Linked DNA regions of Stegostoma tigrinum. The protein of the gene in region 3 interacts with the protein of the main gene of each other region in a biochemical or structural test. Links are inferred from orthologs where the notes say so. Each region holds a gene or a part of one and is shown on either strand. Other genes may lie near its edges. The genes, in order: sem1, fbxo18, rad51 and tyrosine-protein kinase ABL1-like.

Region 1 (7,127 bases), on a different chromosome or scaffold from region 3:
ATTCTGTGTACGATTCCAGACAGGTCACAGGAGGATTTGTACGGGGTAGAGAATCTTGCGAGTTCAATACATGAACAAATGTGAGGTTGAGCCAACTCGGTGGCATGTGCATTTTGTTATTGCAATTCCAAAAGTCCAAGAACTAGCATAGTGGCACAGTGATTAGCTTAGCACTGCTGCCTCACAGCACTATGGACCCAGTTTTGATTCCAGCTATGGTGACTGTGGGGATTAGCCTCTGTGTCTGCCTGGGGTGCTCCAGATTCCTCCCACAGTCCAAAGACATGGCTATGCTTAAAGATTGCCCTGTAGTGTCCAGGGATGTACAGAATGGTGTGGTTTACTGGACCAATCCCCAGAATAGGCAAGTTAACCTATAAGAAATGCTGTTGCTAATGTTTAGAAGAGTAAGAGGTGACTTAGTTGGTACATGTAAGATCCTGAGGGGTCTTGACAGGGAAGATATGAATTGGATGCTTCCTCTAATGGAAGACTGTAAATTAAGGATCCCTATTTAAAAATCAGCTTCACTATTTGAAACTCTGTGGAAGCATATGGAAAAGTTTGAGAGGAAATCTGAATGATATTAGCTATGGTGAGCTGTGTGGCAGAATCTGGAATATGTGTGAAAAGGCCCATTTTGATATTGAGATCGTCTTAATCCATCTTTTATGCTGTTATGATGGGGTTAAACATTTGTTAACCACCTTGTTAACATCACAACTCACGTCATTAATATTCAGACTTCTTTTTTACCAAAACCACTGAACAAGCTAGATGTTGGGAAAACCAATAAGGAAACCAGAGTGAGTATCCAGTAGAATTAGCTTGTCACTATCTTGAAGCAAGACTTCAGTACTCCTATACCCAAAATTATCTTATAATAAAGGTTAGCATTCCATTAGCGTTCCTATTGGTTGCTGCACAGGCACATTAGCCTTCAGTGACTTATCAAAGATATTTAGGTCTCTTTGTACATCTACACTTTCCAACCACTTACGATTTAAAAAATACATTACAAATCTATTTCTCCTACCAAAGTGGATAATCTCGCATTTTACCGCATTACAATTCCATCTGCCATGTTGTTGCCCATTCGGTAAGCCTGTCCAAATCTTCCTGAAGACACTTTTTAGCTCCTTGTAATGAACATTTTCACTTAGCTGGTACCATCTGCAAATTTGGAAGTATTATATTTGGTCTCCAACTCCAAATCATTAATATTTATTGTGAACAGCTGGGGGTCATGTGCAGATCCTTACAGTACCTGACCAGTCACAGCTTACCAACACAAGAATCACCAATAATTCCCTTTCTTTTCTGTGAGTACATTACTCCTTTCCCACGTGTTTTAATTGTTTTAGCCAGCCTCCTGTGGAAAACTTTATTAAAAGTCCTCTGAAAATTTAAGTGTATTTGGTCCATTGGCTCTCCTTTGTCAATTTTCATCTTCAAATAACTTCTATGACTTCATCCAATGCCATTCTCCAGTCACAAATCCATGCTGACAATGTTTAATCAGACCATTATTAATCAGGTTCATAAAATGTGAGGCTGGATGAACACAGCAGGCCAAGCAGCATCTCAGGAGCACAAAAGCTGACGTTTTGGGCCGAGACCCTTCATCAGAGAGGGGGATGGGGTGAGGGTTCTGGAATAAATAGGGAGAGAGGGGGAGGCGGACCGAAGATGGAGAGAAAAGAAGATAGGTGGAGAGAGTATAAGTGGGGAGGTAGGGAGGGGATAGGTCAGTCCAGGGAAGACGGACAGGTCAAGGAGGTGGGATGAGGTTAGTAGGTAGATGGGGATGCGGCTTGGGGTGGGAGGAAGGGATGGGTGAGAGGAAGATCAGGTTAGGGAGGCAGAGACGGGTTGGACTGGTTTTGGGATGCAGTGGGTGGAGGGGAAGAGCTGGGCTGGTTGTGTGGTGCAGTGGGGAGAGGGGACGAACTGGGCTGGTTTAGGGATGCGTTGGGGGAAGGGGAGATTTTGAAACTGGTGAAGTCCGCAAATTTCCCCCACAGTGATCGAGAACGCCCTTGACCGCGTCTCCCGTATTTCCCGCAACACATCCCTCACACCCCGCCCCCGCCACAACCGCCCAAAGAGGATCCCCCTCGTTCTCACACACCACCCCACCAACCTCCGGATACAACGCATCATCCTCCGACACTTCCGCCATCTACAATCCGACCCCACCACCCAAGACGTTTTTCCATCCCCACCCCTGTCTGCTTTCTGGAGAGACCACTCTCTCCATGACTCCCTTGTTCGCTCCACACTGCCCTCCAACCCCACCACACCCGGCACCTTCCCTGCAACCGCAGGAAATGCTACACTTGCCCCCACACCTCCTCCCTCACCCCTATCCCAGGCCCCAAGATGACATTCCACATTAAGCAGAGGTTCACCTGCACATCTGCCAATGTGGTATACTGCATCCACTGTACCCGGTGTGGCTTCCTCTACATTGGGGAAACCAAGCGGAGGCTTGGGGACCGCTTTGCAGAACACCTCCGCTCAGTTCGCAACAAACAACTGCACCTCCCAGTCGCAAACTATTTCCACTCCCCCTCCCATTCTTTAGATGACACGTCCATCATGGGCCTCCTGCAGTGCCACAATGATGCCACCCGAAGGTTGCAGAGACAGCAACTCATATTCCGCCTGGGAACCCTACAGCCTAATGGTATCAATGTGGACTTCACCAGTTTCAAAATCTCCCCTTCCCCCACCGCATCCCTAAACCAGCCCAGTTTGTTCCCTCCCCCCACTGCACCACACAACCAGCCCAGCTCTTCCCCTCCACCCACTGCATCCCAAAACCAGTCCAACCTGTCTCTGCCTCCCTAACCTGTTCTTCCTCTCACCCATCCCTTCCTCCCACCCCAAGCCGCATCCCCATCTACCTACTAACCTCATCCCACCTCCTTGACCTGTCCGTCTTCCCTGGACTGACCTATCCCCTCCCTACCTCCCCACCTATACTCTCCTCTCCACCTATCTTCTTTTCTCTCCATCTTCGGTCCGCCTCCCCCTCTCTCCCTATTTATTCCAGAACCCTCGCCCCATCCCCCTCTCTGATGAAGGGTCTAGGCCCGAAACGTCAGCTTTTGTGCTCCTGAGATGCTGCTTGGCCTGCTGTGTTCATCCAGCCTCACATTTTATTATCTTGGATTCTCCAGCATCTGCAGTTCCCAGTATCACTGATACATTATTAATCAGGTGTCTATTTATTCCTTCTTAGATAGTGTGTTGATATTTGTCACCTCTCAATCCCCTGAAATCAATTCAGAAGTTATAGAATTTTGGAAGATAATCTTCATTGCATCACATATCTTTATAGTCATTTCCTTGAACATTCTGGGACATATACTATCGAGTTCCGGGGATTTATCAACTTGCCACCCCATTAATGTGTCCAGTACAATCTTTCCACAACAGCTAATTTCTTTCAACTCTTCATTCTTCTGAGTGGGAAAAAAATGGAAAACTTTTTGAGTCCAGTGAGGCTTTGTCAGCTGGAGTTTTACATCCAGTACTGGATGCTGCACATTAGAAAGGATGCAAAGGCATTGGAAAGAGTGCAAAGGAGATTTACGGGCATGGCTCAAGGGATGTAGAATTTAGCTATGAAGATATTGAAGAAGCTGGAGGGTTTTCCTTGGAGAAGACAACATTGACAGGAACGTGCTGGAAGAAGACAATGTCACAACAGGTCTGGACAGAGTAAACAGGGAGATGATATTTCCAGCCGTAAAGGTAAAGATTTAAGGTAATTAACTAAAGAGGCAAAAGTGACATGAAGAAATGTTTTACTTAGGCAATATGCGATCTCAATAGTGGCGGGCAGGTTCAACTAGGACATTTACATGACATATAGGGCAGGAAGAAGGCATTTGGTGAAATGCTCATTTGGAGAACTGGTGTACAGAATATGGGCTGAAAGGCCTTCTTCTATGCTGTAACACTTCATCGATTGGATGTAACCCACAAACACTGATGAAAAGATACGCACATAAAGATGTGATATAATGAAAGAGGCAGTGCCAGTATACAGGCACTATATCTAAGTGCTCAGAGAAAAGCGAAGCATCAGATTGTGGGCGGAGCCTCTAGAAGGTCCGCCCCCGATAGTTTCTGACGTCACAGCGTACCACAGTCCTCCCCTCGGCTGTTCTGCTGAATCATGTCGGACAAGAAGGCGCCGGTTGACCTCGGCTTGTTGGAGGAGGACGATGAGTTTGAGGAGTTTCCCGCCGAAGGTGAGTACCGTTCGGACATTTCCTCTGGGTGTTCCTGTCTGGCCCCTCAGTCCCGGGCTTGCGGCCTAGTGTGGGTCTTCACGTGGCGGAGCCGCAGGGAGCGATAGAGGGGTGAGGGCTACAGGAGGGACATGTTCGGCCCTCAGCCCGGGGCGATTGGGGGTTCATAACGATACTCTCGTCTCACCCCGATTCAGAAGTAGCTCAGGGAGTGCTCACCATTGTAACGGGCCCGGTGCTCTCTCTTAACTGCCCAGTTACTGCGATCAAAGGCAACCTCCTTCCAAGTAAACTTGCGATGTGTTTTTGAAAAGTTTTCGCTAGTCCACCTATGATTTTTGATTAGCCCCAAGCTGGTACCAGAGAGCACAAGTTGAACTGTTTGGTATTCTCGACAGTGGGCTACCCCCGGTACAGTAGCCAGAATGGGCTCCCCTGTGTTCAGGTACCTGCTTCCTGAAGGATCTCGTGATAATGGGAACTGCAGATGCTGGAGAATCCAAGATAACAAAGTGTGAAGCTAGATGAACACAGCAGGCCAAGCAGCATCTCAGGAGCACAAAAGCTGACGTTTTGGGCCCAGACCCCCTCTCATGAAGGGTCTAGGCCTGAAACGTCAGCTTTTGTGCTCCTGAGATGCTGCTTGGTCTGCTGTGTGCATCCAGCTTCACACTTTTGTTATCCTGAAGCATCTCGTGTTTGTTTTGTGACCCATCCAGGTGACAGGCAGCCCTGATGATAGGCCTTGACTCTCGTCCAAATGAGCAGTGGGTACAAGTCATCAGCGTAGCCAGAGCAGACTGGGGTTGGAGGCTCTGAGTGTGGTGACACAGGCTAGAATAGAGGCACTAAGGGCAAGTATTCAAACCACCCTGTTTCTTCCATGCCATACAGGCTAGGCTACCAATGATGGTGCTTCAGTTTTGGTGACAGGTCCAATGTACAGTTTCTATGGACATAATCTTTTATTCTACAGATTTTGCCAGTAATCAAGTGGAGTAGACAACAGATGAGCTTCTCTTTGTAATAGCCATTCAGTGACCAGCAGTTTAGTTTTTAGTGCATTAACATTCTGATCTGGAGCTTCCGTTGATTCTAGATGCTTCTAATAAAACTACCACACAAGATTTGCCTTAAAACTTGGTGACTGGTGATAACGCTGAGAGTAATTTGATTTTGAAATAATGGGACAATACTAACCCTCAGAACTGAGGAAAGGTCACTGGGCCTGAAATGTTAACTGATTATTTTTTGTTCTCAGATGCTGCCAGGCCTGCTAAGCTTTTCCAGAAACTTGTGTTTTTGTTCCTGATTTACAGCATTGCAGTTCTTTTGTTTTTTTACTGTAAAGTGTGAGCCTATTATTAGATAAATGCATACCTCCCAGTGACGAAGTCAGAGCATTCTTTTTCATACAAAAATTTGGATTTATATAGCGCATAACACTACAAATCCCTGGACACTTCAGAAGAGAAATGGATACGGTAATTAGGCTAGAGAGTAGATCAAAATGGCAGGTAAAATGTTGAACTGAATGGCAACAGTTGATTACATGTGATAAAGGAGTTACAGTAAAATCAAAGTCAGCAACAATCGAGGAGGGGTGGGGTCAGGCTAAGATGGTGTTGCTCACTACTGGCTGAAATTGTGCCAAGTACAAATGTGAATGTGGGTATTGGAGCCCTAGCTTCTCAGCATAAAGGCACTTTGGCAGCAGCTGTTCAGCTGTATTCTAGTCACTGTCATTGCTGGTTACTTCACCAAGGATCCTTGCCATTTACAGCCCAGATTGTGCATGCAGCAAGAACTGGATGGTGTTGCTTACAACCAAGTTACCTATTGGTTGCAGAAGAGCCAGGCATTGACAGTTTCCAACAAGAGGGTATCTAACTTTCCTTTGACATTCAACAGTATTACCATTACTGAATCTTCTTTGTCAACATGTTATGTATTATGATTGATCAAAAACTTAATGGGACATGAATATTGCAGCTGTAAGAGCAGGTCAGGGGCTGGAAGTTTGTGGCAAGTAACTCATTTCCTGATTTCCCCAAAGACTGCCCACATTCTATGAGGCATCAGTCAGCAGCATGACACGTATTGTCTTGTTGCTTGGCAGAGTACAGATCCAGCAGCACTCCAGAAACCTGACTTAGTGCAGGACAAAGAGGCTCATTTGACTGTATCCCATCTACCACATGAGGGAATCACTTCCTCCACCACTGGTGCACAGGCAGTGTGATATCGACAATATACACAGCAGCAGCTTGCCAGGTTTCTCTGAGAACATCTTCCAATCTCTGACCAGTAGTGTAGGTTAGAAGATCAAGGTAATGGGTACAAGTACGTACGAAAAAAAAGGTTTTATTAACCAGCACCAGAAGTGTGCCAGTCGATTAAATATTCCAGTTGATCAAGAAGTCCACATAATCAATGTGAAAACAAACACTAAAGTAATAGACAGGTAATGCAGGGCGTATACACCGCACTGTTTTACTTTATTTACAACATAAATCTTGTAAATAATGAAGCAGTTTTGCCTTAAAACTTACCAGCTTCTCATTTGCACCCTCAACCGCTTACTTGGACATCAGAGATGCAGTAAACGTTCTGTAATTCAGGTAATTTTGGCCAGTTTATTGAGACTGCTGGTTCATAAGGTGCTAGTTAAAACAAAGTTTCCTGTACCCCCAACTCTGAGTTGCCCTGAGAAACTCTTGGAGAAAAGACCTGGAACTGTGGTGACTGACCTTCAGCAACTACAACCATCTTCATATGTGCCTGATATAATTCCAACCAGTTCAGAGTTTTCTCCAATACCCATTGACCCCTGTTTTGCCAGGGCTCCTTGGTGCTACAGTC
Region 2 (7,114 bases), on a different chromosome or scaffold from region 3:
GGGCATTTTGGAGATGTTGTGTATGAAGGATGGGTGTTGTGTGGGTGTAGGCAGTGGTTGCATTGTATAGGGTGTTGTTTGGAGGAGTATGTGGATTGCATTGGGGGTAGGGATGTTGCTTGGAGGGGTATTTGGGGCCATGTTGGGTTTAGAGAGTATTGTGGCAGGATTGCAATGTTATCATTCCCCCACACCCCCGCTATTTAAATAGGGCTTCACCTGATGAAGGAACTGTGCTTTAAAAGCTTGTGATTTCAAATAAACCTGTTGTACTATAACCTGATTTCATGTGACTTCTGACTTTGTCCATCCCAGTCCAACACCGGGACCTCCACATAACATTTAAATGCTGTTATTAGTTTAACTTGTTCCATTTTGAAGAAGGGTTTGCCTCTGGAATATGAATTCCTGTGCAAAAAAGATGCCTGACAGAGTGAATATTTCCAATATTTTCAGCCTTTGCTTCAAGTTTTGTCATAATGATTTGCACCTTTGTTGTTCAATGCATTTTCAAGCACCATCTTGTGTCATAGAGCTGTAAGTACATGGCTGCGAAACAATTCTATATTGACGTTATCTATAACCAAAATATAAGTTGTTACTGCAAAAGGGCCGGTCACATGATAACATTGACTTTCATGTTTGGTGTTTTGATATTGTGAACATTACCCTTTCACATACAAAATTAGAAATCTCTATACTAACAGAACCTAGTGAATTGAAACGACAAGAATATAAACCAGGGAAAATAAATCATCTGTATTTACTAATGACCAAAAAGAAAAGGTGGGTTAACAGAATGATAGATTTACTAGTGCAGAAAGATGCCATTTGGCCCATTGTGTCCACATTGGATTTCCAAACATTTATATGCCAACTAGCTATCAGCTGTGGCTCAGTTAATCACACTCCCACCTCTGAGTCAGAGGGTTAAAAAAGGTTCAGAACACTCTTCAGCTCATAGCCAAAGGCTGACACTCTTGTGCATTACAGAGATAGTGCAACTGTCAGAGATTCTACCTTTCAAGTAAGACAGTAAACGGAGGCAGGTAGATCTAAGAGATCCGAGGAAGAACAGACTTTTCTAAATGCTTTGCAGGCACTACTTATCACTAACAGAATAATTATTCCTGTGATAGTGGAAGCATTCAGTTTGTGCATAGGAAGATCCCATACAGTAATTGAATTAATGGCCTGATAATTGTTTTAATGATGTTGGCTGATTGATTACATATTGGTCAGGACATTGCAGGGGACTCTCCAACTTCTCCTTGAAATAGTGACGTGCAATCTTTTTATGTGCTTATTTACGTGTTTGATATTGGTCTCCTTATTTAATTAAGGATGTAAATGGGCTGGAAGCAGCTCAGAGAGGTTGACTAGACAAATACTTAGAACGGGTGTCTTATGATGAAAGATCAGACAGGCTAGGCTTGTATTCGCCAGAGGTTACAAGAGTGAGAGGCAATTTGATGGAAAGATACGAGACCCTGAGGAGTCTTAACAGGGTGGATGTGGAGAGGAGGTTTCTTCTCATAGAAGAATCCACTCTGAGGGGGAACTGTTTGAAAATAATGAGTCATGCACTTAAAACAGAAATAAGGGGAAACCTTTTTCTCACATAGTGTTGCTCATGAGTCTTTTCCTCAACAGACCGTGGAAGCAGAGTCTTTGAATATTTTTAAGGCAGGGATAGACAGATTTTTGATAATGAAAAGAGTAAAGAGATTTTTGGGATGAGGGGAATGGGAAGTAATCAGAGCAGCTATGATATTACTGTACAGTGCCACGCACCTTAGGGGCTGAGTGGCCTACTACTCCTAATTCATACATTTGTATGCATCTTTTTTAACTGATCTGAAAGGGAGTTCATTCCTTGTCCAACTGGGAGGGGAATAGCTCAAGATTTTAAAAATTCTTTCCTGGGATGACGGCACTGCTGACTAGCTCAGTTTTTCTTACCCATCCCTAATTGCCCTTGAAATGAGTGGCATGCTAGGCCATTTCAGAAGGCAGTTATTAGTCAAGCATGTTGCTGTGGGCCATGTACTGTAAAGCTGAATACATTTCCTTTATTTTTCTACATTTACATTCTATGTTTTGGTTTTTATGTGTTTTAAAATGGCACCAGAGCGTGGTGACACTGTGCAACACTTCTAACTGTGTTTTGTAACAAAATACATGTGGTAATAAATAAATAACTTAAATAAATCAAACACATAGTCCAGACCAGGTAAGAACTGCACATTTGCTTCCCTGAAGGACATTAGTATGCCAGATGGTTCTTGATGACAATTGCCAATGGTTTCATGGTAACTATTAGGTTGACTTTAATTAAATATTTTATTGGATTAAAGTTCTACCGTGCGCCATAGAGAAATTCAAGTCCTAGGTCCCGACAACTTTAACCTGAGGTTTGGGGTTGCTAGTCCAATGACATTAATACAAACATCAACACCTCCCTATGATGCGGACAATCTTCAATTCGGGCAAACGAGAAAGATGAGCAGTTTCTTCTCCGTTACCCAACAGCGCTGCCACTTACCAATCAGCTTTCTTCAAACAGTCAACGTTGGCTCCTTGGGCTAGCAGGTACCTCACACACATTCTGTGACCCATGGACCCTGCTTCATGCAAAGCTCGTTTGTAATCACTGTTCACCAGCTCAATGTTGGCACCGAGCTCCTCCACCAGGTATTTCAGGATTGGCAGGTGCCCATACCTGGCAGCATAATGCAGCACTGTGTCACCCGATCTCCCAAAGTGACCCTTCAACACTGTATCCAGAACAGCTTCACCCTTACCCAGTTCCTCTTTGAGATGGGAAAGACTGCCTTCTTGTATTATTCTAATGAGATGCTTGACTTTGCCTTCACAAGTCATCAGCTTTAATCCTCAAAAGAAATTGCTCTGACAAGAAAAAACGTCTCACTTGTAACAATCTGATGACAAACTCATCTGCTTTTGCTGCAAAACCTAATACAAATCTCCAAATCTTTATTTCCTCAGTTTCTCTCCTAAGACTCCCTCACAGAGGCAGGTCCTCAGTGCTTACATGCACCCTCTGAGATATTATTTGTAAATATTAATCCTAATCACAAAGCACGAGCTCTGTTCACAGCTGCCTTCCTTCTTTAAACCTGTACACACTCACAGAGACTCAGATCTTCCAGCTCCACCCCCAGAGTAACAACGACCGACTAAAAACATTCCCTGTGAGTCCTTAGGCTGGTAAACGCTAGAATTGCTCATCAGGGAAAAGACAGGGCCGGCTAACTTCTTGGAGCTATGTGCAATCATTGTGAGTAGCAATTTGATTCACCCTGCATTTCAAACAATTAAAAATAAAAACTCTGAACAGTTAAAAATGTTTATATGGAATGAACCGTCATTTTTAACCCCTCAGATAACCAAACATTTTGGGGGAACCCTTTATGCAAGGGCCCTCTGAAGTGTATCAGCATTTACAGGGAATCCCTTGAAGTGTCTCAATATTTGCAGGGGATCCCCGAGAAAAGAGTCAGTATCTGAAGGGAAAAGTTGGCAATATTTCCAGGAAACTTGCAGTCGAAGATAATGGAAAGCAGGGATTCTCAAAAGTATCCGAGTATTTGCAGCGCGTATGTCAACCAGAAGAGCGTGGTGGGGCTTCCGAAATATAGAAAACGGTGCGAAAAAGATCACCAGAAAGAGAGATAGTTGGAGAAAGAGAAGCTTCAACAAACCTACGGAAAGCTGACAGTTGTCCTTAAATGAGATCAACGCTTGCTCAGAAAGATTCCACCTACTGCTGATTGCGAACTGACAGCCGTGGATTTTCTAAGTAGTCGTCCAGAGACAGCAAGCAAATAAAGTGTGTGGTTCCTGGTAGCCGTGAGAGCATCTAGGGAGGAATAGACTCCGGAAGTACTCACTGAGCAGTTTGGAATTGCTCTAAAGCTGGGGTGGAAATAAGTCTGGATTTGATATGTCCCAGAGATGAAAAACAAAGCGAGAAACTTGCATGCACTCCACCTTGTATCATTTAACCATTGAGTGCCCTGGATATGGTGAGTGGCATATTAACTCAGCAGCAGGTTCCCCTAGATGGAGTTTCCCGTGCAGACCTTTGCATGATATCAAACTGAGTTCTACCTAAGGCTGGATTTCCCAAACTCTAGCCGGACTCTTGTTTCCCAAATGATCGGTTTACAAGAATGGTTGCTGGCAGAAGGGACTTGAAATATGAGGATAGATTGACGAAATTAGGAATGTCCTCCTTGGAGCGAAGAAGGCGCAGATCCGATTTAAGTTTTTAAAATGATGGATGGAATGCATAGGGTGTAGCAGTTTCCGACACACAAAAGGAACAAAAGGCCAGCGTTTCGCAAAGGAAGTAAGAATGAACTGAGGAAAAGCTTTTTTCACACAGCAAGTATTTAGGGTCTGGAATGCACTGCCTGAAAGTGTGGCGGAGACAGATTTCATAACATAGAAACGTAGAAGATAGGAGCAGGAGGAGGCCGTTTGGCGCTTGGAGCCTGCTTCGCCATTCATAGAATTCATTGAATACCCACAGTGTGGAAACAGGCCGTTTGTCCCCTCCCAAGAGCATCCCACCCAGACCCAGTCCCCATGTCTAACCCACCTAACCTAAACATCTCTGGACACTACAGGGCAATTTAGTATAGCCAATCCACCGAGCCTGCACATTTTTTGGAATGTGGGAGGAAACCCACGCAGACCCAGGGATTTCTTCACGAACATGGCTGATCGTCCAACTCAATAGCCTAATCCTGCTTTCTCCCCATAACCTTTGATCCCATTTGCCCCCCAAGTGCCTGGTCGCCTCTTGAATACATTCGATGTTTTGGCATCGACTATTACCTGTGGTAATGAATTCCACAGACTGACCACTCTTTGGATGAAAATATGTCTCCTCATCTCCCTCCTAGATCATCTACCCTGAATCCTCAGACTGTGACCCCCTTGGTTCTGGACACAGCCACCATCAGGAACATCTTCCCAGCATCTACCCTGTCCAGTCCTGTTAGAATTTTATGAGTCTGTGTCGAACATAGAACCCCTACAGTGTGGAACAGGCCCTTCAGCCCAACAAGTCCACACCGACCCACAGAGCATCCCACCTAGACCCATTCACCTACAACTCACCTAACCCACACATTCCTGAACACTATGGTCAATTGAGCATAGTCAATCCACCTACCCTGCACATCTTTGGACTGTGGGAGGAAACCCACGCAGACACAGGAAGAATGTGCAAACTCCACACAGGCAGTCACCCAAGGGTGGAATCGAACCTGGGTCCCTGGCGCTGTGTGGCAGCACTGCTATCCGCTGAACCACCGTGCTGCCTGTGTTGAGGAGATTCCGTCTTCATTCATTTGAACTCCAGCAAAAACAATTCCAAAGTCATCAGTCTCTCCTCATATGTCAGAGCTGCCATCCCCGGAAACAGCCTGGTAAACCTTTGCAGCACTCCCTCGAGAGGAAGAGCATCCTTCCTCAGAAAGGAAGACCAAATTCTAGGTATGGCCTCACCAAGACCCTGTGTAACTGCAACAACATGTTGAGGTATTTAAGAGACCATTGGATGATTATTTGGATAAAAATAATATATAAAGGTGTGGGGGGAAAGCAGTAGAGGCCTCCTTTTGGACCATGACATTTCTGTGATTCTGCATGGTGGAGAAAATTGACAAGCAAGCCAATGAGGTTAAAACAAGGGGATTTTCAAACTAATGTTGGTTTCTGTAATTGCTCAGGGTTAGTTAGCTCAGTTGGCTGGATAGCTGATTTGCGTTGCAGAGTGATATCATTAGTGTGGGTTCAGTTTCTGAAAGGCTGAGGTTACCATGAATGTTCCACCTTCTCAACCTTGCCCCTTGCCTGAGGCATGGTGGCCCTCAGGTTAATTATAATCCATCATCGCTTTCTATTGAGAGAGCATCCATATGGCCCTCTGGAACTATGGAGTCTTTAACTTTGCAACAGGGTCGTCTGAAGGGGTGATGGATATGGCAGATTCAGTAGTAGCTTTCAGAAGTTAACTAAGTATTTGAAAGGAAATAAAAAACTGTCAAGGCCATGTGGGAATAATTGTGTCTCTCTTCCAAGTGAAACCCAGCACAGGCACTGAGGGCTGTATTAGTTCTTGCTGTGCTTGTCAATTGTGTGATATCTGTTCAATCATACAAGCCTTGTCTCAATGCTTGTTGGGATCTCTATATTCACACTTGCCACTTACCTCTTAACCGAGGGGCACTGTTCACCAGCTGACCATGGGGGAGTAAAATTGTGACCAGCTGATTTGGTACAGACTGGCATTGGAGCTAGAAGGGTCTAGTCAGCCACTTGAAAATGGTTGTGGGGCGGTAACTGCTAAAATTTCAATTTTGTTTTCTTATTTTACAGTTTAACCAAAATCACAGGAGCAGCAATGTTACAATGATTCTTTGTGAGTAAACCTGTTTCCTTGCTTTTTAATACAATGACATTTGAATTGTATGCTGTTCTGTTTAATAACTTCGGCTATTTTCTAAAGTTTGGATTTAGAAGTAGAATGTTGGAAGAATAACTAATTAACCTAAAAAAGACAAATATTTGAAAATAATGATGTTATTTCAATATTGTTGTCTTTATTTAAGATCTGAAGAAGTGAAATAGTTCCCAGCCTTGTTTAACTGTTTGTTTTAAGTGGTGATATTGATTAAAATGAGGAGTACTTTGAAATCAAGATGCAGGGAGGCTCAATGCTTGTAGGGCTAAAGACCCAGGTAACCAGCGAGTTTATACAGTCATACAGCATGGAAACAGACCCTTTGGTCCAACTAAATGACACTGACAAACTAAATCAGTCCCACTTATCTATGTTTGACCCAAATCCCTCTAAACCTTTCCTATTCATGTGCTTATCCAAATGTCTTTTAAATGTTGTAACTGTACACTTGCCTGGATGAGTGTAGCTCCAACAACAAGCAAGAAACCAGACACCATCCAGGACAAAGTACTAATGGGCATCCCAATTCCAATCTCAAACACGCAGTTCCTCCACCTAGATCACACAAACAACAGCATGGATCACCTACAAGGTGGACTGCAGCAATTTCACAAG
Region 3 (7,454 bases):
GTTGCAGGGAAAAGTGCCGGGTGTGGTGGGGCTGGAGGGGACTGTGGAGCGGACAAGGGAGTTACGGAGAGAGTGGTCCCCTCAGATAAGGGTGGGGAGGCAAAAATGTCTTTGGTGATGGGGTCGGATTGCAGATGGTGGAAGTGTCGGAGGATGTAGCGTTGGATCCGGAGGTTGGTGGGGTGGTATGTGAGGACAAGGGGGTTTCTGTTTTGGTTGTTATTGCGGGGAGGGGGCGCAAGGGATGAGTTGCAGGAAATGCGGGAGACATGATTGAGGGCGTTCCCGACCAATGAAGGGGAGAAGTTGTGGTCCTTGAAAAACGAGGACATCTGAGATGTTCCGGAGTGGAATGTCTCATCCTGTGAACAAATGTGGCGGAGGCAAGGGATTGGGAATAGGGGATGGCATTTTTGGAGTAAGGTTGTGGGAGGAGGTGTATTCTAGGTAGCTGTGGGAGTCAGTGGGCTTGAAATGGATATTGGTTTCCAGGTGGTCGCCAGAGATGCAAACAGAGAGGTCCAGGAAGGACAGAGAGGTATCAGAGATGGTGCAGATGAACTTAAGGTTGGGTGGAAGGTGTTGGTGAAGTGGATGAACTGTTTGAGCTCCTCGTGGGAGCACGAGGCGGTGCCGAAACAGTCATCAATGTAACGGAGGAAGAGGTGGGGTTTACGGCCAGTGTAGCTATGGAAGAGGGATTGATCCATGTAACCTACAAAGAGGCAGGCACAGCTTGGGCCCATGCGGGTACCCCTGGCCACCCCCTTTGCCTGTAGGAAATGGGAAAAATTGAAAGCGAAGTTGTTGAGGGTGAGGACGAGTTTGGCTAAGTGGATGAGGGTGTCGGTGGAGTGCCACAACGTTGCCACCTGAAGGTCGCAGGAATAGCATCTCATATTTTGCTTGACACGCCTACAGCCCAATGATATCAATGTAGACTTCACAAGCTTCAAAATCTCCCCTCCCCCTACTGCATGGCAAAACCAGCCCATCTCATACCCTCCTCTATAACCTGTCCTTCCACTTATCCCCTCCTCCCACCTCAAGCCCCACCCCCATCTGCTACCTGTTAGCCTCACCCCACCCCCTTGATCTGTTCGTCCTCCCTGGACCGCCTATCCCCTCCCTAACTCCCCACCTGTACTCACCTTTACTGGCTCTATCCCCATCTCTTTGACCTATCTGTCTCCTCTGCACCTATCTTCTCCTCCATCCATCTTCTTTCCGCCTCCCACTCTTTCCCTATTTATTTCAGAACCTCCTTCCCCTCCCCCATTTCTGAAGGAGGGTCTAGGCCCGAAACGTAAGCTTTCCTGTTCCTGTGATGCTGCTTGGCCTGCTGTGCTCATCCAGCTCTTGTTACGTCAGATTCTCCAGCATCTGCAGTTCCTACTATCTAGCGAGTTTTGAGAAGATTTGTAGGTCAGGTTGAGGTTCTGGATGTGAGTTTGCTCACTGAGCTGGAAGGTTAGTTTTCAGACGTTTCGTCACCATTCTAGGTAACATCATCAGTGAGCCTCCGATGAAGCTTCATCGGAGGGTCACTGACGATGTTACCTGGAATGAAACAAACAACAAAGAAACAAAGAAACCTACAGCACAGGAACAGGCCCTTCGGCCCTCCAAGCCTGCACCGATCAAGATCCTCTGTCTAACCTGTCATCTATTTTCTAACGGTCTGTGTCCATTTGCTGCCTGCCCCCTAACCTTCCAGCTCAGCGAGCAAACCCACATCCAGTTCATCCAGCCTCACATTTTATTATCTTCCAGTTCCTACTATCTCTTAAGGACACAAGGCAGGATTTTACAGTTTATGATCCCTGCCCCTTCTCTGATTTATAGGGAATTTGTCCAGGGGAAAAACAGTTGCTCTGCTGCTACTGAAAACATTGGCTAGAAGAGGAATTTCTGCCCTTCAGGGAAAGGAAGTCCAAGCTTCGACATCTGCTGATCAATCAAATAGCTGGTAGTACTTCTGGTCCCAGCAGTGTTAGGCAGAAGCAATGTTCATTACTGCATAAACTAAATACTAACTTCAATCCAAAGTTCTAACATGTGCAATAAACTCTTGCCTAGCACTTCATCTAAGGACTTAAAACAAAAAACCTCAATACATTACAGTTAGTGGTTTTCAGTCACTCAGATACCAAGAACTGCAGATGCTGGAGTCAGAGTCAATTCAGCATGGAGCTGAAGAAACACAGCAGTTTATGGAGCATCAGAGGGCAGGAAATTTGACGTTTCAATTTTACACCCTTCATCAAGACTGAGAAAGGAGCTGGGAAATAAATACAGGGAGGAGGGGTGGAGCTGGGGGAAGGTGAATACACATGGGGGTAGTAGGTAATAGGAAGGGAGGGGCGGATAGGTGGGAAAGATGATGAACAGGTTGTGTCAGGTCAAGATGGCAGGGTTGGAAGTGGTATGAGGTCAGGGTGGGGAGATTTTGAAACTGTTCAGGCCATCGGGGTGTAGGCTAATCCTCCAGTTTGCGCGTGGGGTCATTGTTACACTGGAGGAGGTCCAAGGTGGACATGTCATCAATGGAGTGGGAGGGGAAGTCAAAATGATTGGCAACCAGAAGGTGTTGTGATTATAGCATACAGAACGCAGATGCTCCACAAATTGGTCACCAAGTCTGTACTTGGTCTCACCGATGTAGAGGAGGCCACATTGGGAGAAATGGATACAGCAGACCAGGTTGGAGATGTACAAGTGAACCCCCGTCGGATTTGGAAAGTTTGTCTTGGGCCTTGGATGGAGGTAAAGGGGAGGTGTAGGAGCATACGTAGCACCTGCAGTTGCAGGGAAAGGGGCCAGGTGTGGTGGAATTGTGGATTGGATGAGGGAGACGCAGAGTAAGAGGGCTCTATGAAAGGCAGATGGGGCTGGGGAGAGAAATATCTCTTTGGCGGTGAAGTTGGTCACAGTGGCAGAAGTAGCAGAGAATGATGTGCTGGATGTGGAGGTTGGTAGGGTGGTATATGAGGGCCAAGGGGACTCTGGCCTTACTTTTGTTTGGAGGGAAGTGTTTGAGGATAGTGTGGGAAATGTAAGCGATGTGGTTGGGGGCATTGTGGATCAAGAGGAGAGGGGAAAAGTTGCGGTCCTTGAAGTAGGAGAACATCTGGGATGTCTGGGAGTGGAACAATCCATCTTGGGAGCAGTTGGAGGCGGTGGAATTGGGAGTAGGGGATCACATTCTTCCAGGAGGGTGGGCAAGAGGAGGTGTAGTCAAGGTAGCTACAGGAGTTGGTGTTTCTGAAATAGATGTCGGTGCTGAGACGGTTACTGGAGATAGAGGGGTGCAGGAAGTTGGGGGGGGGGGGAAGGTATTGGAGATGATCCAAGTGAATTTCAGGTGGAGGTGAAAGGTGTTGGTAAAGTTAATTAACTGTTCAAGCTCCTCATGAGAGCACGAAGCAGTGCCGATACAGACATCAATGTAGCAGAGGAAGAGGTGAGGGATGGTGACAGTGTAACAGCGGAAGAGGGACTGTTCCATGTATCGTACAAAGAGGCAGGCATATCTCGGATCCATACGGGTGCCCATAGCCACCCTTTCATTTTGTAGGAAGTGGGAGGAGTTAAAGGAAAAGTTGTTGAGGATAAGCACAAGTTCCGTTAAGCGGATGGCTGATTCACGGAGCATCTGTGCTCTGTTCGCTGTAATCAACAACATCTTAACAGGTACTATTTTAACTCCCCCACCCACTCCCACTACCTTGCTAACATGTTCATCCTGGGCCTCCTCCAGTGCCACAGTGATGCCACACGCAAACTGGAGGAACATCATCTCATATTGTGCCTCCGGAGCCTATACAGCCGGATGGTTGGGATGGAGGGGAAGGTGGAGGGGGGAGGGAGAGACAGTTTCTTGAGAGTCACTCTGCATCAATCTAAGATTCAAAACATTCATCTTCACATGGCAAGAGGAAGAACAATCCTCTGAATAGGTTTACCGCTACTCATGGATGTAAGAAATTCTCAGCATTCTCTGAAGAGGTCAAGTTTTGCTCCTTCTCTAGAAGGTACATCCGCATACCCAAGAAGAAAATTTTGTATATACTTAAATTCCTCTCCATCCAAGTCCATAATACAATGGTAGTCCCAGGCTATAGTTGGAAAGTTAAAGTCCCCTACCATTAGAACCCTACCATCCTTACAGATATCTGGGACCTGCTTACAGATTTGCTTCTCAATTTCCCACTAACCACTTGGGGGGAGGGCGTGCTATAGTACCTAATAAGATAATTATCCCTTTTCTTATTTCGCAGTTCTACCCAAATGACTTCACTGGATGCTCTCCCAAGAATATCCTCGAATGAAATTAACGAGGCCTGAGTCATAACAATTGAAAACAGAAATTACTGGAAAAGCTCAGCAGCGCTGCCAGCATCTGTGGAGAGATAGCAGTTAACGTTTTGGGTCCAGTGACTCTTCCTCAGAGTCACAACGGCACAGTCTACAGCACAGGAAAAAGGTCCACTGCATCAGCGCTAGTTTAAAAAAAACCTTGACTATTCTAACTGGATAACAAAGAAAAATCAGTCTTACAGATGGCACAAATGTGAGGCTGGAAGGTCAACGTCTTGGCACACCAAGGGTGGCACCATCATCACATAAATGGATTATATGGTCTACTCTATCCACATCACCAAAAGCAGGTTTGATACGGGTCTGGCAGTCTTATTCAGTCAACATCACCAACGCAGACCATCTCATCCATTCATCTCGGTAGCTCTTGACGGCCAACGGCTTTGCCCAAAATGGCCGGTGTCCTCGGCCTAGGCGCGCTCTTCTCTCAGACAGCGACAACAGACGCGCACGCTCCATTTTACTCCGCGAACGTTTGCGGCTTGCGTGGCTGCGTCACTGAGAAGTGGCGCGCGTTTTGGAAGAGTTGAGCCGAGTGGAGACGCAGAGGGAGCGAGCGGACCGTGCCCGCTTTAACGGACAGCCACAGTAGCCGCCTCTGCCTTTCAGGTAAAAGCAGCGAATTCCTTAAGAGAGGCGGGGTCGCGGTCTCCGACGGAGGGTATAAGCCCGGGAGCCTGTTGACACTTCCCTTACTCCCCACTTCACCCCCCACTAAAGCTTGTTGTCCTTTGGCCACCGTCTGCCTGCCATTGTTAACGGCGACAGGCTGGTGCGAGAGGATCTGGGCAAGGGACAGGGTCGATCCAGAGGCCTTCAATCCGTCAGCAAGGCCTTGAGTTCGAAAGTTGGCTACATTGTAATGCCTGCTGCAGTGGAATGGCTGTGCCTTCCTTATTACTAACAAAGCTTAGATGCTAGTTTTTTGTGATTAATGCTCTAGGACTCTAATTCACACTATGCTGCAGCTTTCCACAATCTTGCCCCATTTGAATAATATTTAGCTCTTGTATTATTCCTGCCAAAGTGCATAACCTCACATTTTCCCGAATTATATTTCAACTGCCAAGTTTTTCCTTACTTTCTTAATCAATTTGTATCCTTCTGTAGACTACTTGTTCATTTGCACTTCTTGCCTTCCCACCTGTTTGTGCCATCCTCAAACTTAGTGATCGTATGTTTGTTTCCATCATCCAAAATCATTAACGTATATTGTAAATCATTGTGGCTACGGCACTGATCATTTTGGCACTCCACTAGCAACCTTTAGCTGATAATATCCCCTTTCCTGATAATATCCCCTTTATCTCAACTGTGTTGTTGATGATTTAGCACATTCTTCACCATGCTAGTACCTTATCAAATGTCTTTATGAGAAACATATATTGTATCCACTGCATCCTCTTTATCTACACTCCTTAGTACCATCAGCAAAGAAATTTGTAAGGCAAGCTGATGCTGCTTGATTATAGTGTGAGTTTCTAAATGCTCTGCTGTTACATTCTTTTCCCATAATATATGTTAATAACTTGTCTGTAGTTAGTTGTGTTTTCTGTGATTGCGGCTGTAGCATCGGAAAAATGCCCTTCAGCGCACTGAATCACATCAGCAACCTAACTATTCTAATTGCACTTTCCAACACCTGATATGCATTAGCATCACAAGTGTACAGTTAAATACTTGTTGAATATTATGAGGATTTCTGCCATGACCAACCTTACAGGCAGTGAGGTCCAGATTCTCACCACCCTCTGGTTTAAAAAAATACTTTGCTCACATCTCCTCTGAATTGCCTTCCCCTTACTTTGAATCTGTGCCCCCAGTCTTTGATCCCTGCAAGAGGAAAAGTATTTTTCCTGATTACCCTGTCAATGCCTTTCATAATTTTATTTATCTGAATTATGTTTGTCTCCTCAGTCTGCTCTGCTCTAAGGGAAACAACTCAAGTTTATCTGAAACAAAAAGAGAAACTACAGAACAATTCTGAGGAAGGATCACTCGTTAACTCTGATTGGGCAGCATGGTGGCTCAGTGGTTAGCACTGCAGCCTCACAGCGCCAGGGACCAAGATTTGATTCCAGCCTCGGGGGACTGTCTGTGTGGAGTTTGCACATTCTCCCCGTGTCTGCATGGGTTTTCTCTGGGTGCTCTGGTTTCCTCCCACAGTCCAAAGATGTGCAGGCTAGGTGGATCGGCCATGTTAAGTTGCCCGTAGTGTTCAGGGGTGTGTGGGTTATCAGGGGATGGGTCTTGGTGGGATGCTTCAAGGGGTGGTGTGGACTTGTTAGGCCAAAGGGCCAGTTTCCACACAGTAAGAAATCTAATCTGAAAAAAATTTCTCTTCGCAGATGTTGCCAGACCTGCTGAGGTTTTCCAGTAATTTCTGTTTTTGTTTCTGATGTACAGCATCAGCAGTTCTTTCAGTTTTTACCCATTTTATCTGATCTCTTTTCATAATTAGAATTCTCCAGCCCAGGCAACATCCTGGTAAATCTCCACTGAACCTTCCCCAGTGTATTTACATCCCTTCTATAATGTCAATTCTAGAACGATACACAATACTCCTAGCTGTTAGAGGGAACAAAGAAATAGCAACAGAGTGAAATATTTTGTGTTAGTCTTTATAGTGGAATGTACTTCAAGCATCTCATAAACTCAGAAGAATACAGGGAAGGAATTAAGTACCATTGCCATCATTAGAGAAGTAGTATTAGCACACTAATGAGGCTAAGAATCCTCAAAGAAGTAACTACAGAGATACTGAATGTATTGGTTGTAATTTTCCAAAAATCCTTGGATTCAGGAGAAGTAGTGGAGGAATCGAAAACTGCCAATGTGACATGACTATTCAAAAAAAAGAGGGGGCTGCAAAAAGCAGGTATCTTTAGGCTGATTAGCCTGACATCTGTTGAGATCAATTACTATGGAAGCAACATCAGCACATTTGGAAAATCAAGCAGAGTCAGCATGACTTTTTGTGAAAGGGAAATCGTATCTGAGTACTTTATTGGAGTTTTTTGAGGAAGTCTCACCCCGAGTGGGTAGTGAACCAGTAGATGTGTTGTATTAGGGCT
Region 4 (7,345 bases), on a different chromosome or scaffold from region 3:
GTTGGATGTTATCCGTACCCAGAGTGTATGGCACCTCTGGATTGAACAGCAGATGTTGAGGCTGTAAAATCAATACTGCAATTTCAAATATTCACACTATGTATTCATGACTTAGATGAGGAGATAGCAATGACATTAGATTGGTAGTGTAACGTTGTCACACATACCGCTAGACTAAGTGAAAAAGAAGAGTGGTGGCAAATGGGTTTCAATGCAGGCAAATTGAGACAATCTACTATGGACCTAAAGAGAATAGAACAGGGTATTTTCTAACTGGTGTAAAGCTAGAAACAGTGGAGGCCCAAAACGTTTCCTTGTCCATTGATCTGCAAATCGTCGGGAAAGTTAAAACAAAAATAATCAAAAAAGCTAAGGTCATGGTGGCCATTATCTCTAGACAGGCAACGTACAAGGTGGAGAAAGTTAACAACAGTTATACAAAGCCCCAGTTATACAAACACCTGAACTACGAGCATATCTGGGACCCATGCCTTAGGGTGGGCATTCGGCCTTGGAGGGGTGGAATGTAGGTTTACTAGAATGATACCTGGATATCAAGGACTAAATTACTGGAAGAAATTACACAAACTAGGGCCATATCTCCTGAACTCAGAAAGTTAAAGCATGTGATTCGATTGAAATTTTCAGAATGAAGGCAAGGTATAAGCTGGACTGGAGTCAGTGCAGAACTGTTACCTCTGGGTCAGATGGTTGAGCACATAATGCAGTGCAGTACTGAGGGAGTGTTGCAATGTCGGAAGTGCTGGGTTTTGATTTTGAGGCCTTTCCTGCCCTCGCTGGTGGACATAAACAAATCCCTAGGCAGTGTTGCAAAGAAAATCATGGTATTCACAATGTCTGACCAATATTTATTCCCTAATCCACAACACAAAAATCTGATCATAATCACATTACTATTTGTAGGATTTTTTCAGTGTGCAAATTATCCACTGCATTTCTTCGTTACAAAAGCTGCCAGACTACAAGAGGACTTCATGAGGTGTAAAGTGCTTTTGGACATCCTGTGGTCATAAAACATAGAACATTATAGTGCAGTACAGGCCCTTCGGCCCTCGATGTTGCGCCAACCTATGAAACCAGTCTGAAGCCCATCTAACCTACACTATTCCATTATTATCCATATGTTTACCCAATGACCATTTAAATGCCCTTAAACTTGGCCAGTCTACTACTGTTGCAGGCAGGGCATTCCACGCCCTTACTACTCTGAGTAAAGAACCTACCTCTGACATCTGCCCTATATCTTTCACCCCTCAATTTAAAGCTATGTCCCCTCGTACTAGCCATCACCATCTGAGGAAAAAGGCTCTCACTGTCCACCTTATCTAATCCTCTGATCATCTTGTATGTTTCTATTAGGTCACCTCTTAACCTTCTTCTCTCAGCCTCAAGTCCCTCAGCCTTTCCTCATAAGACCTTCCCTCCAGACCAGGCAACATCCTGGTAAATCTCCTCTGCACCCTTTCCAAAGCTTCCACATCCTTCTTATAATGCAGTGACCAGAACTGTACGCAATACTCCAAGTGTGGCCGCAAGGGTTTGGGGAACAGGGGTCAGAGTAAGAGTGGGTGGTTCAAAGTTGGAGTGGGGGCATCAGGGTATGAATGTCAGTGTTGGAGTTCGGCGTGGGAGTGCAGTGGGACAACAGTGTTCAATTGGGGGTGCCAGGTTGGGGGTGAAGTGCTGGGATCAAAGGGTAGAAATGGAATTGGAGGGCAGAGAGAATGGGAGTTGCAGAGTCAGAGTGGAAGTGGCGGACAAGGTTCAAAATTGGAGTGAGGGTGCAGAGTGAGGAATGGGTATCATAGTGGGTTTGGGGGTCAGCATACAAGTGGGTGTCATAGTAGGGGTGGGGAATAGCAGTCTGAGTGGGGTAAGACATAGTGGGGGTGTCAGAGTAGGGTGCTACTATAAAGGGCTGCTATAAATACAAGTGTTTCTTTCTTTGATATAAACTATTTCTGCTGGTTGTGAAATTGGGGCTAGGGGATATCATCTAAAAATCAGAGTCAGACCTGCCAGGTGTTTGGGATTCTCTGCATCAAATGTAAGTTGATGCTAGTGTGATAGCTAATTTTAATTGGAATTCTGGTAGATTTTTGTTTATGCAAGTTATTAAGGAATATGGGGCAATGGTGGGTCAATAGAATTAGATCACAGATCAACCATAATCCTTTCAAATAGTAGTATGGGATTTATGGACTGAATGGCTTCTTCTTGTTCTGACAAACTCCCTTAAGCACCTTTTTCATTTTGGCCCATTCAGGTGGCTGTCTAACTCAAATAGTAATGCTCCGGTCTTGCAGCCAAAAGCTCTGGTTTCAAGTCCCAGTCCAGACATGTGTATGGTTTGAACAGGTCACTAACCAACCTGCTAACACTTCTCCAAAGGCAATAAAATTTAGGGAGATATGGTTCTAGTGCTTTTAGTCCAGAGGTTCATATCTAGGGACATGAATTCAAATCCCTCAATGTTTGCTAGTGGAATTTGAATTCAAATAATAATTCTGGAAATGGAACCTAGTCTAGCTAGTGGCAAATCTCCTTTGCACTGTCTCTTGTGCAGTCAACATCCTTCCTATAGTGTGGCTAAAAGTATGTCTTCGGAAAGGATGAAGCAAAAACGTGTAAACATACAAAACAAATTTGCACTATCACTGTCAGGGACAGGGCACCGAGGAAGGAGATGAAGTTGTTCTCATGGTCATTTTGGAGAAGATGCCCACTCTGACCCACTCTCATTCTGACCCTACCCCCAACCCCACTCTGACCCATTCCCACTATGACACAACACCACCCCACTCTGATCCACTGCCATTCCTACTCTGACTCCACTCCCTCTTTGACTTACTCCCATTCCTGCTCTGACCCACCCTCACCTGCAGTCTAACACCCTTATCCCACTTTGAACCTCCACTCCCACTCTGATCCCCATAACCCACCCTACTCTGACACCCCCACTATGTCTTACCCCACTCAGACTGCTATTCCCCACCCCTACTATGACACCCACTTGTATGCTGACCCCCAAACCCACTATGATACCCATTCCTCACTCTGCACCCCCACTCCAATTTTGAACCTTGTTCCCCACTTCCACTCTGACTCTGCAACTCCCATTCTCTCTGCCCTCCAATTCCATTTCTACCCTTTGATCCCAGCACTTCATTCCCAACCTGGCACCCCCAATTGAACACTATTGTCCCACTGCACTCCCACGCCGAACTCCAACACTGACATTCATACCCTGATGCCCCCACTCCAACTTTGAACCACCCACTCTTACTCTGACCCCTGTTCCCCAAACCTACTATGATCCACTCTATCCTCTGTTTGCACACGTACTCTGATCCCCACTCTGACCCATGTTTTCCACCTCCACTCTGACTCCTGTCCCAACCCTGATCCTGATCCCTATTTCCAGCCCCTTCTCTGATCTCCATTCTGACCCCTGTTCTCCACCCAGCTCTCTGGCCCCCAACCTCTCTGACACACTCTCCAACCCCATGGGTCAGTGGGATGGGGAATCTGCCTGCCCCAAGGCTGAGACAATCACACCGCCCCTCCAACTTCTCTGAGCCTTTTTACCCCTCCTTTCCCTTCCAGACCTCTAAGCTTTGACCCCACCCTGATCCCATTCCCCTTCCCACTGACCCATGTCCCAACCCCCACCGTGATCCCGTTCCCCATCCCACTGACCCATGTTCCAACCCCCACCGTGATCCCATTCCCCACCCCACTGACCCATGTCCTAACCCCCACCCTGATCCCTGTTCCCCACCCACTCTCTGACCCCCACCCCATCCCCCTTCACACCTACTCCCCACACCATTCTGACCCCTGTCCCAACCCCCACCCTGATCCCTATTTCACACCCCTTCGGTGACCCCCACTCTGACCCTTGTTCCCCATCCCCTCTCTGACCTCCTCCCCCATCCCCTCACTCCAACTCTGACCCCTGTACCCAACCCCTTGTCTGACCCCAAAACCCCACCCCCATTCTAACCCGCCCCCGCCTCCCATGTGACCCCGCCCACCCGATGCACCGTAGGCTCCGCCTTCCATGCCCAACGCGCTGACGTCAGGGGACGCGCGGACGTCAGGCGCACGGTGCGTGGCCTCATTCCGCTTGCCCCGAACATGGCGGATGCCTCCAAGTGAGAGAGCGGGAGAGACGGGGAGCAGTGGCGGCGGCAGCAGCGGCGTCGGCTTCCAGCCCAAGGACTCCTGCGTGTCCCCGCCCACCCAACACATCCCCAGGCGGTGGGGAGGGCGGGGGGTGGGGGGGAGAGTGAAGAAAAAAATGAGTGAGGGGGGGTCTGGCGGGAACTGACTGGTCCCGAAACAGCGCCCCGTGAGGGAAGCCGGAGGGTTGTTCCCCTCCCCCCACCCCCGACACAACCCCCTCCGAAGTGGGAACTTTGACCCCCCCCAGCCCGTGACCCCAAGTTGACCCCAGCCTTTTAACTTCTGCCTGCCCCAAGGCTGAGACAATCACGTCCCCCCCAACTTCTCTGAGCCTTTTTACCCCCCCCCCCCACTTTCCCTTCCAGATCTCTAAGCTTTGACCCATCCTCCCAGCCCCCTGGACGCTTCTTCCCCCACCCCTATGTTCCTATCCCTGGAGCCTAACCTGTGTTTCCCCCTCTGTTTGCCTCAGGTCGTGACCCTTCTCTGCTCCCCACTTTCTTAATAGCCCCGTCCCTGCTTTCTAACTTTCTGCCGTCCTCCCGACCCCAGTGTGTCTCCTTCTGTGGGCACTCACTTCCCTCACCCCTTCCTCCTCCTCCTCCTCCTCTTGCCCACCACTTCCAGCCGTAGAAAGAGTATTTCTTTTTGTATATATATATATTTTTATTATTGCTTGGACCTGGAGTGGATTAATTTATGGGGCAACAACCAGGCAAAGTTCTTGCGGACCAAAGAAGGCCGACACTGCCTGCGCTGCACTTTATCAAAGGAGGAAAGCGAGAGGCATCCAAACATGGAGCTCAGCATTTCAATGTGTTTGTGGAGCACGGTAAGGAGATATCTGATCATTGGATGCACTTGATTGTTGCTGGCATTCCCTTCATCAAGCAAAAAAATAAACATTACAAGCTAGTAAAATCAATCAACCCAAAATATGCTTCATTGCGTGGGATAGGGAATGGGATCAGGGTTATATGTCACACTTGGAAATTAGCAGCATAAAACTTACTTCATAGCCTTTTTTCTACCAGAATTTTGAGATTTCCGTTGATGTCTTTGGTGACCACTACATTCGATTTCATCAACTGCTGAAAATTGTCAACTTGTGCCATTGATTGTGTAACTAGTGTGGTGGTTGTTTGTTTTAAATGTTTGTTGTATTTCTCAGCCTGTTGCTGCGACAGTTTATTGGATGAGTGGAAGAGCAAAAGGTGCATCAGTCACCAGGTTTGAGTTTAGTGTATATGAAATTCTTTACTCACTATTGCTAGAGATTCTTCAATTGCACAGTTATATCAAAAATTTATAAAGAAGAAATCTGAGAGGTCCACCGGTGAGTAGTATTGTTTTTGAAATACAGGTGGATATAGAGGAAATGGCATACTTGAAAGTGATGCTGAACCTAGAGGGAGTACTTTCAGGAGAAAAGAACATCCTAAATGTATAATGTGAAAACATGGAAAGGAACTCTTTAATTTAGTCCCTTGTGTTTTTTGCCAAGGGAGTTGCACCATGATTTTCAGTTGCAGTAATCATTGCATCAAATTACATACAATCTACTGCACATAAACAGGTTATTCCACTCAATATATCTATGCTGGTATTTATGCTGCACAGGAGCCTATACCCATCATACTTGCACTCACTCTATCAACACATGCTTCTGTTCCTTTCTCCTATATGTGCTTTTCTTGCTCCCTATTAAATGCATCTATACTTTCTGTGCAACAGTAAATCCTACATTTCAACCATTCTCTGGATGAAGAGGTTTCTCTAGAAATTTCCATCAGATTTATGTGATTGTCTTACACTTATGCCCAAATGCCATAAGTGGCAATGTCTTCTCTGTGAGTACCCTATCAAATGCTTTCATAATGTTAAATACCTCAATCAGGTCACCCCTCACTTGCTACTCTTAGATTACTCCAACACCTTGAGTTAGCTGGGCATTCTGGAGTGACCATATTTAATGATGCACAGCAGTTGGGATTGGCTCACTGGCTGGTGATTTTGAAGCTGCTTCCGGATGGGTTTGAAACTTTGACAACCACGTGGATGACTGGAAAGTTCTGGACACATTTGTGATGGACGTGGATTAAATATGATAGTCAGTCTTCCGCTGTAGTGCTCCACAAATAGCAATGTGACAATGGCCAGATTCTTACTTTGTTTAGCCAGGTTCTTTCTATTTAATGATTTTAGTTGAGGGCATAATATTAACGAGGTCATGAAGGAGAACTTTTCTGCCTTTCTTCATCAAAACAGTGACATGGTTTCTTTTACACCTGCCTGATTGATATTTCATCCAGTAGACAGCACCTCCAACGATGTAGTATTCTGTATTATCTGTGAGCCTATGTTTTTATCTGAATTGCTGACCAAGAGAAAACTTAATGAATTATGGTACCATTGTGTTATGTTACAGACTCCAAATCCAGGGACTAATGATTTGGAGTCCTACATTCAAATCCCACCACCCTAACCACAGCAACTGAAGAATTTAAAATTACTTAATTGACTAAATCTGGAATTGAAAAAGTGAGTGTAGCAGTAAAGATGACCATGAATCACCGCCTGGTTCGCAAATATCCTTTAGGGAAGTGAATCTGCAGTTTTTAACCAATCTGGCTCGTGAGGATGGATTATAAATATTGGCCCTGTCAGCAACACGTCTATCCAGTGAATGAATAAAAATTACCAACAGGCTGTCCACCAAATTGGCAGTGAAAATCATTTTGCAGAGTATCTAGTATGTTAAAGCATGTAAATATTGTTACTGTGGAGACACAGGAAGAACACATCCCATGCACTGCAACTGAAACAACTAGTGTACAAGATGGCAACAGTTTAAAAACTCACTTGAATTCACGGATTATTGTTGTAGTTTAACCAACTTAAAAGCAAAATACTGTGGATGCTGGAAATCTGGAGTTAAAGTGCTGGAAAATCTGCAGCATCTTTGAATTGAGAAGAGGTTGATGTTTTGAGTCCAATGTGACTTCTTCAGAAATGGACTTAAAAAGATTCATATTGGACTCAAAACATGAACTCCTTTTTTCTCTCAGCAGATGATGCCAAACTTGAGTTTCTCCAGCACTTTTTGTTTTTATTGTTGGGTTGGTTTTCTGCTGTT

The links.
Region 1: the proteins of rad51 (region 3) and sem1 form a complex in vitro, tested with the Homo sapiens proteins (2 studies listed by BioGRID). The link is inferred for Stegostoma tigrinum from reciprocal best matches to the Homo sapiens genes RAD51 and SEM1.
Region 2: the proteins of rad51 (region 3) and fbxo18 form a complex in vitro, tested with the Homo sapiens proteins (2 studies listed by BioGRID, with this or other methods). The link is inferred for Stegostoma tigrinum from reciprocal best matches to the Homo sapiens genes RAD51 and FBH1.
Region 4: the proteins of rad51 (region 3) and tyrosine-protein kinase ABL1-like form a complex in vitro, tested with the Homo sapiens proteins (2 studies listed by BioGRID). The link is inferred for Stegostoma tigrinum from reciprocal best matches to the Homo sapiens genes RAD51 and ABL1.

What each region holds. Positions count from the first base shown.
Region 1 is NC_081355.1:83,550,008-83,557,134, reverse strand, and holds the start of sem1 (26S proteasome complex subunit SEM1), read left to right. Parts: upstream 1-4,123; 5' UTR 4,124-4,189; coding exon 4,190-4,265; intron 4,266-7,127. UniProt on the Homo sapiens protein: Component of the 26S proteasome, a multiprotein complex involved in the ATP-dependent degradation of ubiquitinated proteins.
Region 2 is NC_081378.1:11,774,635-11,781,748, forward strand, and holds the start of fbxo18 (F-box DNA helicase 1), read left to right. Parts: upstream 1-4,094; 5' UTR 4,095-4,306; coding exon 4,307-4,375; intron 4,376-5,460; exon of another isoform or gene 5,461-5,529; intron 5,530-6,414; coding exon 6,415-6,457; intron 6,458-7,114. Other genes in the region: ankrd16 (ankyrin repeat domain-containing protein 16), read right to left, coding at 2,546-2,883. UniProt on the Homo sapiens protein: 3'-5' DNA helicase and substrate-recognition component of the SCF(FBH1) E3 ubiquitin ligase complex that plays a key role in response to stalled/damaged replication forks.
Region 3 is NC_081363.1:81,845,215-81,852,668, forward strand, and holds the start of rad51 (DNA repair protein RAD51 homolog 1), read left to right. Parts: upstream 1-4,432; 5' UTR 4,433-4,989; intron 4,990-7,454.
Region 4 is NC_081382.1:41,442,832-41,450,176, forward strand, and holds the start of tyrosine-protein kinase ABL1-like, read left to right. Parts: upstream 1-4,333; 5' UTR 4,334-4,908; coding exon 4,909-5,041; intron 5,042-7,345. UniProt on the Homo sapiens protein: Non-receptor tyrosine-protein kinase that plays a role in many key processes linked to cell growth and survival such as cytoskeleton remodeling in response to extracellular stimuli, cell motility and adhesion, receptor endocytosis, autophagy, DNA damage response and apoptosis.